Linked DNA regions of Oryctolagus cuniculus. The protein of the gene in region 2 interacts with the protein of the main gene of each other region in a biochemical or structural test. Links are inferred from orthologs where the notes say so. Each region holds a gene or a part of one and is shown on either strand. Other genes may lie near its edges.

Evidence for each region.
Region 1: the proteins of MYLIP (region 2) and CNPY2 form a complex in vitro, tested with the Homo sapiens proteins (2 studies listed by BioGRID). The link is inferred for Oryctolagus cuniculus from reciprocal best matches to the Homo sapiens genes MYLIP and CNPY2.

Annotation. Positions count from the first base shown.
Region 1 is NC_091442.1:59,129,969-59,136,352, forward strand, and holds CNPY2 (protein canopy homolog 2), read right to left. Parts: upstream 3,907-6,384; 5' UTR 3,704-3,906; exon of another isoform or gene 3,617-3,703; intron 3,326-3,616; exon of another isoform or gene 3,104-3,325; 5' UTR 3,079-3,103; coding exon 2,991-3,078; intron 2,886-2,990; coding exon 2,770-2,885; intron 1,069-2,769; coding exon 865-1,068; intron 703-864; coding exon 606-702; intron 260-605; coding exon 216-259; 3' UTR 99-215; downstream 1-98. Other genes in the region: PAN2-PAN3 deadenylation complex catalytic subunit PAN2, read right to left, coding at 5,119-5,153, 5,503-5,700, 5,979-6,072, 6,188-6,367. UniProt on the Homo sapiens protein: Positive regulator of neurite outgrowth by stabilizing myosin regulatory light chain (MRLC). It prevents MIR-mediated MRLC ubiquitination and its subsequent proteasomal degradation.
Region 2 is NC_091436.1:143,407,733-143,413,760, reverse strand, and holds the start of MYLIP (E3 ubiquitin-protein ligase MYLIP), read right to left. Parts: upstream 3,429-6,028; 5' UTR 3,207-3,428; coding exon 3,120-3,206; intron 2,102-3,119; coding exon 1,911-2,101; intron 1-1,910. UniProt on the Homo sapiens protein: E3 ubiquitin-protein ligase that mediates ubiquitination and subsequent proteasomal degradation of myosin regulatory light chain (MRLC), LDLR, VLDLR and LRP8. Activity depends on E2 enzymes of the UBE2D family.

The DNA.
Region 1 (6,384 bases), on a different chromosome or scaffold from region 2:
CCCCAGTCCTCAAGCTCTCCCTTCCCTATCTGTAATCCCCGATGTTCAGGCCTAATGGAAAGGCTGACTCCGGGCATGCAAAGACAACACATCTGCACTTTTGGTTTCATATTTTTTTTCAGTTCATTTCGGTAAAAACATAATATAAAAGGCAATGCCACCGTCTTCCCCTCCTGGGGGTGATCCATCAAGTCAGTCTGGGCTGCTCCAATGGTTCATAGCTCATCGTGAGATATGTGCAGGGCATGGTCACACAGATCTGCAAACAGTACATAACGATTGGAAGGGAAACGCCACTTTCATTCTGACACACACCACTAACAAGGAAATACGGTAAGCCAAACTGACGCACACACCAACCACCATGCTTGAGAGCATATGCTTAGAAATGACAAAACATGCCCCTCTGCACCACCCCCGCCCCGCACCCTGCTTCTATCTCCAATCTGAAAGCAGACAGAGAATGGAGAGGAACACTCCTAGTCCCTAAGCCAAGGGGCAAAGGAAATGGAAACCAACTCTTGGGCTATTATCAGGTTTCCCAAGAGAAGGTAGCTAGGTTCCATAGGGCGGTGAGAACATGAGATAAATGGGTAGTAGCTTACCTGTTCGCTTACTACAAAGTTTGTCTTTAACATTGTCAGCCTCTCGGGAAAAGAATTCAATGAGTTCATCCTCATATTCTTCCACGATGCTCTCACACTGCCAACCCAAAGGAGAGACGAGTGATACAGGGCAGCAGGAAGAGGCCTCCTGCCTCTACCTCCAGAGACGAGGACAAGGACATTAACCCAACTTTCTACTTGAGCCGTCCAACAGCCCTCCCGATTTCCAAGAACGAGTTACCCCCGCGCCAGAGCTCACCGCAAACTTGAGGGTGCCGCTGATATCCGAGTCGATGCGGATGCCCTGCAGGTCCAGTTCGCTGGATTCTCCGTTGCGGCCCACCACGCGCACGTAGTTCTTGCGGTGGGTGGAAGGATCGATCTGTTCCCCATACTCCTTCATGCGGTCACACACTTCCTCAAGCAGCTCTGTGAGGTGGGCCTCGGAGCGGGCGTAAGGCACCTGGAAAAGTCCTCAGCCTTCGGTCACTATCTCCTATGTCTGCGCGTTAGTAATTTATATCCTTACTCTTCCTTCCAACTCTGGCTCAACTAACTTATTCTAAAAATCCTTCCCTAACTAACACAGTATGGCTATATTTGTATAGTTTCAAAGTACTTTTGAATATATGGTTTTATCTTTACTGCATGGCACAAATAAGACATGTAGCATTAACTCCAAATTATCAACTCTGATCAATGGTGTTCTTTTCCTTTGAATTCATTCTTATGACTGTAGGTGATCAATACTCATGTTTACCAACTTATTATAAAGAATATTACAAAGGCTTCAGATGAAGAGAGGCACAGAGCTTCCATGCCCTGAGCACCATCCTCCAGCCACCCAGAAGCTCTCTGAACCCTGTCCTTTTTGTTTTTTTTTATGGAGTCTTCATTATCTATGTGTGATTGATTAAATTTTTGACCATGGGTACCAACCCAACCTTCAGCACCTCTTATCACTCCTTGATAATTTATTTATTTTTTTTTAGTATTAGAATGAAACCAACATTTGTTTTCAGTAGGACAGCAATAGAGACGCAAAACAGGCTTTGAGGATGACAACTATTAAAACAATTCGGCCGGTGCTGCGGCTCACTAGGCTAATCCTCCGCCTGCGGCGTCGGCACCCGGGGTTCTAGTCCCGGTTGGGGTGCCGGTTCTGTCCCGGTTGCTCCTCTTCCAGTCCAGCTCTCTGCTGTGGCCAGGGAAGGCAGTGGAGAACGGCCCAAGTGCTTGGGCTCTGCACCCGCATGGGAGACCAGGAGGAAGCACCTGGCTCCTGGCTTCAGATCAGCGCAGTGCCCCAGCCGTAGCAGCCATTTCGGGGGTGAACCAACGGAAGGAAAACCTTTGTCCCTCTCTAACTCTGCCTGTCAAAAAAAAAAAAAAAAATTTCACAGGGGCCAGCAGTGTGGTATAGCATGTGAAGCCGCCGCCTGCAGGGCTGGCATCCCATATGGGAGCTGGTTCAAATCCTGGCTGGTCCACTTCTGATCCAGCTCTCTGCTGTGGCCTGAGCAAACAGTAGAAGATGGTTCAAGTGCTTGGGCCCCTGCACCTGCGTGGGAGACCCAGAGGAAGCTCCTGGCTTTGGATTGGCACAGCTCTGGCTGTTGCAACCAACTGGGGAGTGAACCAGCGGATGGAAGACACCTCTCTGTCTTTCTCTGCCTCTGTCTCTCTGTAACTCTGCCTTTCAAATAATGAGTAAATAAATCTTTTTTTAAAAAAAAGGTACATAAAAAAACCCAAAAGCTTCATAACCTTAATGTTTACATATTGCTCACTATGTACAGCTTTGTGTGTGTTACATTTTCAGCTGAAATCAATTTCCTAATTACAAGCATAAGACCTTTTATTCTTTTTGAATGAAAGTCTGTATGTATCCCAGTGCTAGGGAGGAAACAGGAGTTACACGAATTAAAGATGTATAAAGAAGAGGGCTGATCAGGGCTCCCAGTGACAAGTTCTGTACAGAAACAGAGTATTTAGGGGTTGGAGCCAGAAAGAAGGCACACAAGGGATAACCTCATGAGACAGAGCCCAATCTTCCAGGGACCTCTCTGAGTTAGTCTTCATTTCTGTAAAACCAAAGTCCGTCTTAATGAGCTGCGTTCTCATTCAAAGCCAGAGTGAACTCTCCGGGGGAACTAACAGTTACCTCCACCACCGACTGGCTGCCGTCTGGATTGATCCGGAAAGATCCCATCTGAATGGTCTTCTTGGGGTCCACCTGGGCAATCTCCCACTCGAGTTCATCCACCAGAGCCCTGCAAGCTGGGTAAGAGGGATTCGCATTCATTTCCCCCCAGGCCTTGGGTCTCGAGCCCTGCCCAGAGTCCACTCCCTCCCCCTTCTTATGTTCTGTGTGCTTTTCTTTACCTCCACAGTGTAGATCCTGGCTCCTCCGAGCCCAGGCAGTTCCCAGCAGGGCCCCAAGAAGCAGGGCCAGCCAACCCCAGCCTTTCATCTTTAACGTAATGGGGTTGCTCCACCTGAATTTGGGTGGGGGAAAAAAAAAAAAAACAAAACAGAGTAAGGAACCGACTCTACTTCCCCTGCACCCCCCACACTCCACCTCTCCATCCCAAGGCCTTCCAGAGCCTCCTGCCATTCTGACTGCTTTCCAGGAAATGGCTGGGACACAAAGAAGCTCCTCTGCGCCGGCGCTTGAGGGCTGACCCCTCCGGAGCGCAGGGCTTGGGGCTCAGGGGCAGGTGAGTCCCTAAGTGTTGGTACGTTACCATTAGCGGCCAAGGGTTCACAGGGCTATGTGGCAGCTACGGGACGGAGGCCGGTGACCGTGCGAGGGGCCTGCGGTCAGGCCAGGCGGCCGGCGAGCAGAGCGCTCAACAACCAGGGCCTGACAGGATCCTGCACAGAAGATGCCCGCATGCCCTCCGCCAGCCTCCAAGGGACTGCACGTGTGGACCAGCCCCCTTTCTGAGGGCTCCCCCATTGCTTTCGCTGCAGCCCGTCCCCAGCCCTTAGCGCCGCACGCGTCCCACCTCTGCTCCCAGGGCCGCCGCCGTGGCCCAGGCGCTGCAAAATCGCCGGACTCTCACTTTGGCCTCGGTGGCTCCCGAGCCTCGCACCTGGCTGAGGGGGGAGCGGGGCTGTCCGTGATCCTCCAGAGCGCGTCGGTGCTTTCTAGAAACGGGGTGCCCAGGCAGCCGCCTGACCCAGCTCCCTGCACCCTAACTGGGCGCCTAAGCGGGGCTCGGGTTGTGTGGCCGGGCGAGCCCCCACCACACAGCGACCCTAAACCCGCCCCTGCAAACTCTCGCGCGAACAGGCAACGTGGGAGCGGCACTGAAGTGGCGAGGACCCCGGTGGCTTGCAGAAGGACCCAGACTTGCGTGGCGAAGGGCTCCACGTGACTGGCCGCCGGCGGGTAGCAGAACAGGAGCGGCGCCAGGCGCGGACGGAGCCCGGCGTGTTACACGGGAGCAGTGAGGCGCGAGCGATGCATCGCTCTAGGTGGGCTAGGGCCTTCAGAACCCCGGGCTGCGGCTAGCCAGCCAGACGACCTCGCCTCGAAACTACATCTCCCAGAACGCACTGCAGCACCAGCTGACCCTTTCGGCAGCTGCTGGCGTCAGCAGATGCCCTGGGACTTGTAGTTTTGCGGCTTACGCAAACCATACCACGTGTCTTCACAGCAGTCTGACCCTAGGGTACTGGGCATCTACAGCAAACACCTAGTGTTGTCCAGGAAGGGAGTAATTTCACTTCTCCCGTATCCATAACTTTGGACCCCGAAGCTTTACCTTCATTCCCGGATGTGGATTTGAGCACAACTTTAGTTTTCTGAGTGTTAATAAGAAACCAAAAAATAATAATAGAGCTTCACAGAACCCCTACAAAAGCAGTTCTATAATGAGACAGGTGATTAGACAATATTTTCGTTTTTATTTTATAAAACATGCGGCTTAAAATAAATTTTTAAAAAATAACAAAACTTGAGACGGGAAAGAAGATGGAAGACAGATGCTTCTCAGCTGTCAGCAGGAATGGAGCCAGCAGCCAAGCTTTGTCCAGGAAACAAAGTCCCTTTTGGCAATGGTATTGGCAACTGTGGTTTTCTTGATTCCCCAAGCTGCAACATGATGATCCCTCCAGGCATCCCCTGAGCAATTGAAGACTTGAGCTAAATCTTGAGCTACTAAGTATATCCTCTTGTCACTGTCCAGTACTTCAGTCCCCAGCCAGCTAGGAGCTGAGAGTGTTGGTCCCAGAACCTTCTCCGCCTAGATACTAATCACCCCGGGTATTTATTAAGAATGCCAATTACTTTCCGTCTGGGTCTAGACTTTGTATCTGGCCTGCTGTTTTGCAAAGGATGAAGAAGGAATCCGGCTCCTAGAACCTTTGCATCGATTTTTCTGAGTTCCAGTTCTATTAATAGCACCATCTGTGGAGACTGAGCAGGTCCCGTTCTGGAAGTGGACCCACTTGGGAAGCCATCTCCCAGTTCTGGGGCTACAGAGCACTGAAGGGAGAGGGCAGGTCAGAGTGCCAGCACTGAGGAGAAGACCGCTGCGTCTGTCAGAGACAAAACCGAGAGCACGACTGTTAGGCGAGTGCAGAGAACACCTGGACGCCTCTCGTGAAGAAAATGGACGAGAAAACGGGCGTGGACCTTCCCCAAACATTTCAGAATTCAGCAAGAGGAGATTATAGGACTGATGCAGGGTTTCAATAATAAAAACAATTTCCCTGCCTGTTAGGAGGATTAAGTGCAATTGTAATTGCTAATCACTTTACAAAAAATAGGGTAAGATTGGTCTTGTTATCATCACTCATCAACATCGTTGTGGTGGTGGGTATAACCTCCATGTATGCAATCAAAACCTGTCCGAGCCAGTCTCCCTGTTCCCATTCCAGGCCTTACTCTTGGGACTTGTCTGGCCCTCTGGCTCAGGCACCTTCCAGTCCATCTTCCGGCCCTTCTCATAAAGGCCCTTGAGCACCTTGTGGAAGGATTCAGGCTCAGTGCCGTTCTTGCTTAGCTCCAGATACTTTCGATAGAGCTGAAGAGCTGTGCGGGCATCCTCAATACTGTCATGGGTCTCCCCTTGAATCTTCAGGTCTAGGGCGAGTAAAGGCAGAAGAGTTGGGGACCAGGCAAAGGGAGGTAGCGACATATCCCCCCGACTCCCACCCTATGACTCAAAGAAAACAATAAATTACCTATAAGGCAAAGAGTCAAACACCTTCCCTAGTGTAGAGGAGATACTGACGCTAATTGTAAAAATCCCTTGGTCAATCTCATCGCTAATTCAGGGCTGTCCCTACTCCCCTTTGACCTCCAGCAGTTTTCCTATTTCTAATGAGCACCTCCGCTGTCTACAAGATGGAGCAACTCACCCAGAAAGTACCATGCAAGGAATCGCAGGGAAATCATTCGTTTTCGGGGCATGTGGAACAGGTACACAGTGTCAAGTACTTGGTCCTTGGGCACCTGGCAGAAATAAAACAGTGGGAGAGTTAAAGATTCATTTCCCATTCTCCAAAAGCACAATGTATACCCTGGGGGCCCACCCTCAAAGGTGATTCCTAAGAGTCCCTGCCCGAACCATGAGGTTGATGACCCTGAAGTCCTTCTGCAGGCCATGGCCCACGAACTTGACGCCAATGTCAATGAGAAACCGAAGCTTCAAGTACGTGGACTTGAGGGTTGTGAGGTGCTTGGAGGATATCTTGGCGTCAAGGTCTCCCGGCTTTATCCCCGAGTACTGAGTCAAGTAATCCACGACCTGGGAATAGAGAAAGG
Region 2 (6,028 bases):
ATTATGCACATAAAAACAATGTTAAGTGTAAACTGGACGCATTCAAATCCGGATGTACTCATTTACAGGTACAAATGCTAATAACACTTTATCTAGTTACTGAAGCAGAATGCTTTATAAACCGTAGGTGGCATTTTCCCACTAAGTCTGATATTTCAGCCAACCCCATGAAAACAAATAGAATTTACCAATGCTATCATAAGCCAGTCAAAAGTTTGGACTAGCCTACAATCAAACTGCTTTCAAAAATCAGGTAAGATTATCTGGCTGAAGTAGGTATGTAGGGGTGCTGTTAGCCACGAATCTCAAGGGTTAAAGTCAATTGAGTCAAGAAAGGAAAAACCAAGATAATAAATTTGTTCAGGTTCTAATTTATAAAATGCCTCCATTTCCGGCATGAATAAAATGGATTTGACACAAGTTATTAACCCAATTACAGGAAAACACAGGTAGTGATCATCTAGTCATTAGCTACAAAGTCTGAATGCATTCACACTACAAATATATTATTCTACCATCACTTTCATTGTTTAAATGAAGTATTTGGCCCTCTAAATGTGTGCAGATTTAAAACATTTAAATTGGGTTGTATCTGGTAGCCCGAAATAACTGAAAAATCATAAGACTATGTAATGAAAATTCCACTATGCTTTGTTATATATACTTTGTCTTTTATTCTACTGTGAGTTACGGCAGTGAAGTGCAAAGCAGAAGCTTTCAAAAATTAGTTTAAAGAAAAAAAGCCCATTTTGATTAACATAGACAGCTATAACTTCCTTAAGCATGCTGTCACTTGAATATTTTGCAAGATATTTTCAAGAGCACTAAAAATTCAGTATAACTGCTTCCTTCAGAAATAAAACATTTTCCTCAACATTTTGAGTTTTATAAAAAAACAAAGTGGAAATTTCAAACTCAAATAAATACTATTTCAAAATGTATTTCTATCAGCTCTCTGATAAACAAACCAAAAAAAAATCTTTAAAGAATATTGCTCACTCATCATTATTCAAAATTTTCAGAATCACATTTTTCACATGCATGGCAGATTTCCAAGGCAAAGGATTATGAAAAACATTACAGCTTAGATCCAAGTTTGCTGTTTTTAAAAGTAGCCATTTTCGTTTTTTTTCTTTTTGACTGCTTTAGTAAGACTGAAGTCTTGCATTTTAGCCATAAATATTAAACATAACTTTCCTAGTTTCACTCACCCTTGAGAAAAGTACTAAGTCAGTGCCAGAGAGAACACATTTTTGTTTAAAAAAGATCATTTGCTTCAGTTGTCTACCACTAGTGGTGGATTTTCACAAGGCAGAGAGAGACTCCCCAATCGTGTGCAATGTATTTGTGGGTTAGGATTCAGTTACAGTAGCCTTAAAAGAGTGCTCTTATTAAGTTTTCAAGAAACTAAAAACTTCAAAAATTCTGCACAAAGCCTGACAGAGTTCTCTGCTACACACTGTAATCTGACACTGGCCGAAGCTGACCAAGTTTAAGTAACCCAAGAGGAACTGTTTCCTGCTTTCTGTTAGAACGTCCACAGTGACCTACAGTAACACTGCCGAGGCAGAGGTTACTATCGGCCATTGGATGCTGCTGTCAGGAAGTAGGCAGTTTGGTGTTTCTCTGGCTGGTTCTTTTTTTTTCCCCCATGTGACAACAATCTCAAGGGTTTGTGGGAATTCTACCCAGCTCTCCCATTAAGTTTATAAAAACAGGAGCTGCAAAATGCGCCCAGGCCAACTATGTGGCTCCCTCTTCAACCAAAGGGCTGTGCCCTGCAGAACGTGGGTAAGGAAGGCATTCACCGCACCAAATTTGCCTGTGAACACCCCGGGGAGGCTGCTCCGGCGCCCCCTAAACAGAATCTAAGGTGCATCTGACAAGGGTCTATCTGAGTGCCGCTTTACCTCGTCTGCTCCTGTAAGATGAGATGAGGCTCCACGAAGAACTTGACTCTGAGTTTAAGCCGGTAAGGGGCCAGCCCGTCCATCTGCTGGGAGATCCGGTTTCTCAGGTTTAGCCATAAACTTTCACCTTTGCTACCGGTAAACTGCAGTCCAAAATAGTCAACTTCTATGATTCCCAGTCGCCTGCACACCTGAAGTCAAAACAAAGGCGGCACGGATGAGCAAACGGGACATGGGGTCAAAGGAACCCGGGGCTCTCTGGAGCTGAAGACTGCTACAGTTCTGCCAAAACCCACCGGTGCTGCGACGCTAACCGCTGGCTCCAGGACGGAGACCTGTCCCTCCCTCCCTCAATATCTAGGGCATGCCCACAGCAGCCCAGAAAGAGCAGTGCTCAAGAGCAGGGGCATCTTCAGGGTCTCTTCCTTCTGACTCCAGTCACTACGATGCCCGGTACCAGCACAATCCACAGAGCTGCTCCGACAGCTATTATCTGGGTAGTGTTAACCACCTGGACTCCAAACACACACACACACGCACGCACGCACGCGAGACCCGCCACAAGTGTCAGCTGTGCGTCACACGAGGTTCTCCAAACCTCTCCTGTCTACACGGCGTGGGAGCACAGCGTCCCCTGGGATCAGACCTGCTGCCTGCCGAACCAGCTCGGTTCCCCCTTCGCTCTGGAAGGAAACGCGGGCTTCAAGGCAGCCAAGCAGGTGCACCCACAACTACAGTACCTCTGCCCCCGCCCGCAAATCCGAAGATGCAGGTGAGTGCTCCGCTGGAAACGCGGCACGGGACAAGGGCCAAGCTTGCCTGCCAAGGCACCCTGGGCCCGAGACCGCGTCCACTCACTCCTTTTTGGGACGTGGGTGGCACTGCAGGGACCCCACCGGCGGCGTCACGCACACACACCTGAGGCAAGTGTGCTGGGCCGCCTGGCTCTGGCAAAGTGCCGGCTTGCGGGGGGGCTGGGCTGCGCTCCGGGCTCTGCCCGCGCCCCCGCGCCAGGGGCCCCCGCAGCGCGCATCCTCCGCACCCCGCCAGCGCGCCCGGGAGGGGGTCGCGCGCCGCACGCCCGCAGCGGGATCGGGGTGCGGGGCCCGGTGCCTGCCTGGGGCGCGCTCCCTGAGGCGCCCGGCCGCCTTCGAGGCCCGTCGGCCTCTGGAGACCGACGTGGGCCCGGACCTGGGTGCTCGCTCTCACCTGATTGAGGCAGTCCTCGCCGTTGGCTTTCGCCTCCACCTCCACCTCCATCAGCACCGCGTCCGGCCTCGTCACATAGCACAGCATGGCTGGGGCCGCCGCTGCCGCCACGGCCACCTCAGCCACCTCCTCTTTGGTGTACGCGGGGCTACCGCCTCGCCAAAGCTCGAACCCAGCCCCGGGCTCGGCGAGGGCTGCAGACAGACGCCCGCGGCCGCAGCTCCGTCCCCGCCACCCCCTCGCCCGCCAGCCCGCCCGCCCTGCCGGCCCCCGGGCACTCCGCGGCGACGCCGCACTCCAGCAGCCAACTGCCTGCGCCGCGACAGGCGCTCCCCTGATATAGCGGCTCCGCCCCCTCCGGCTCGGGACCCGGCCAATCGCGGCGCCCCTGCCCCTCCTCCCGCCGCCCCATCAGCCAATCGGGGAGCCCGCTCGGGCGGCCCCGGCCACCAGCGCCGCCTGAGTTCCCCGTGCCGCTGCGGGAGGCGGCCGCTGGCGGGCGCCTGGAGCCGCGAAGGGGTTGGGGGGGCCCGGAGAACACCCGGTGCCTGTGCCCGCTGGGCGACGCTGCTCCTCGCGAGCGGTCGCCTCGGGCTGCTGGCGGCGACGTCTCCCTGTCGGGGGCTCGACAGTGAGAGGACTAAACGCCTCCAAGCTGCCCCTGAAACATGGGGTCCCTCCAGGAGGGCGTTTGGGTCGCGAAAGCCTAAAAAGAAGAGGAGCCCCCGCGGAGCCCACGGACGCCTACCCGCCCCCTCCGGGTTTGCCTCCGTGTCTGGTTGGGGACGGCAACCCAGGCGGTCCCTTCGTGTAGACCCTGGCTCCGAAATAACAGCGACTGAATGTCAGAGCGCCTTGCAGCCGCTCGCAGATGAGGGTCGGCCCTCTCTAGGGGCTTCTGTTGGCTGAGCCCTGCCGAATGAAAGCCCCCCGTCACGGGGCCCCAGGCCTTCTCTCAGGCTGCCCATCCCGTCTCAGGTCTTACCTCGGCTCAGTCAGCCAGCATTCAGGGAGCCCCTGCTGCATCGGGGACCCCCCACCCCACCCCGCCGTCATGTTCCCTGTTCCGTAGTAGCTATTTAGCAACTGGAACTCCACAGCTCTTCACTCAGTTACTGTTTATTCCTGCTTACCAGTGCATTACTCAACCCACATCTCGGGTTTCTTTGCAGGAGGAGCCCCAGGCCTTTGGAAATTTTACTTCTCTCTGAGGCCCAGTGTTGCCAACTGCTGCTAGGGTGGAGCCCAAGACATCTGTTCTATGGGCCGCCAGAGCAGCCAAGGGGAGACCATCCATGACAGCATTTGTGTCCTTGTGTTTAATGCCAGAGCTGTCATGTCCGCCCCGGTCACTGCCTGCTAATGATGGCTCCCGTTCCTACCTCTTTTCGGGTGAATCTCTGTGCCAGGTCGCTTGATTTCTGTTGTAGGAAAGGCAGCAGAGCAGAAAGCAAAAGAGAGGGAGCCTACCACAGGCCCTCACCGAAAGGGGCACAAACTGGACTAGGGGCCAGCGTTGTGACACAGCAAGTTAAGCTGCTGCCAGCCTCACTGCTCCACTTCCCAGCCAGCTCCCTGCTCATGCACCTGGGCAAGCAGCAGAAGATGGCTCAAGTGCCTGGGCCTTGCCACCCGTGTGGGAGACCTGGATGGAGTTTCAGGCTCCTGGCCTAGACTGTCGTGGCCCTCTGAGCTCTGTGTCTCTCCGCCTTTCTCTGTAACGCTACCTTTCAAATAAATAAATAAATCTTAGGGGGAAAAAGAAGAAACTGTAATGGGCCTTTGGTGTTGCACGTGGAGACACGTGCATGTGTCCTCTCTGTGTGTCTGACATAGGCACCTCTTCCTGACAGTGTGCTCCTGAAATACTCCCTTCATGCATCAACTCCTGTTCCTCATCCCCTTAATTCCAGTTTGCTGACCTCGGGATATTTATCTGGGAGTTAAGATGTGGATCTTTGTTATCTAATCTCTGCTCAATGGCTAGAAATGTCAGAACAGGAAGAAGAGGCGACAGGCAATATGGAAACCAGTGTACTGGTTACAAGTTTTGTATATGAACATCAGAAAGCCAGGCTGACTCACTTAAATTAAAGGGGGTATCAGATGGCGAATTTCAGAAACTCAGACAATTAGTGGAGACCATGCATGAAAAGGAATAGAAAGAGAAAGAGAAAATATTGGTTGGCCAAGAACAAAAGTAAACAAAAACAAAGCAAGCAGAAACCAAAATCAAATACCCAGTTTGTGAACTACTTGAATCATAACTATATTGTTGGTTTTGGCAGGAACATTTCTTTTTGTTTTTTGCAAGTATGATTCCATATGTATATTTTTTAATGTAAACAGGTTAAAATAGTTTGCAAAAGCACAGGGAAAGTCCAGTAGGTTTTATTTATTTAATATTTGTTTTGTATTTATTTTTAACAATCATCACTTACAAAATAGTTGGAGCACTAAGATTGACAGGGATTTATTTTTAAGATTTATTTATTTATTTGAAAGGCAGAATTACAGAGAGAGGGAGAGACAGAGAGACCTTCCATCCACTTATTCACTCCCCAAATGACCATAATGGCTGGGGCTGGGCCAGTCTGAAACCAAGAGCCAGGCATTTCTTCCAAGTCTCCCACATGGTTGCAGGGGCCCAAGCACTTGGGCTGTCTCTGCTGGTTTCCCAGGCACACTAGCATGGAGCTGGATAGGAAGTGGAGCAGCCAGGACTCAAACCAGTGCTCCTATGGGCTGTTATCATCACAGGTGGTGGCTTTACCCCGCCCTAACACCAGTCCTGACAGAGGTATTTCTAATCCAAACCCAATGATCTTTCTGCTGTTACATGGTTGGTAAAGCTTCTAATTGTTTTGAAATTAGGTATCATCAGATAAGACTGAAGAGAGGAAGAATTT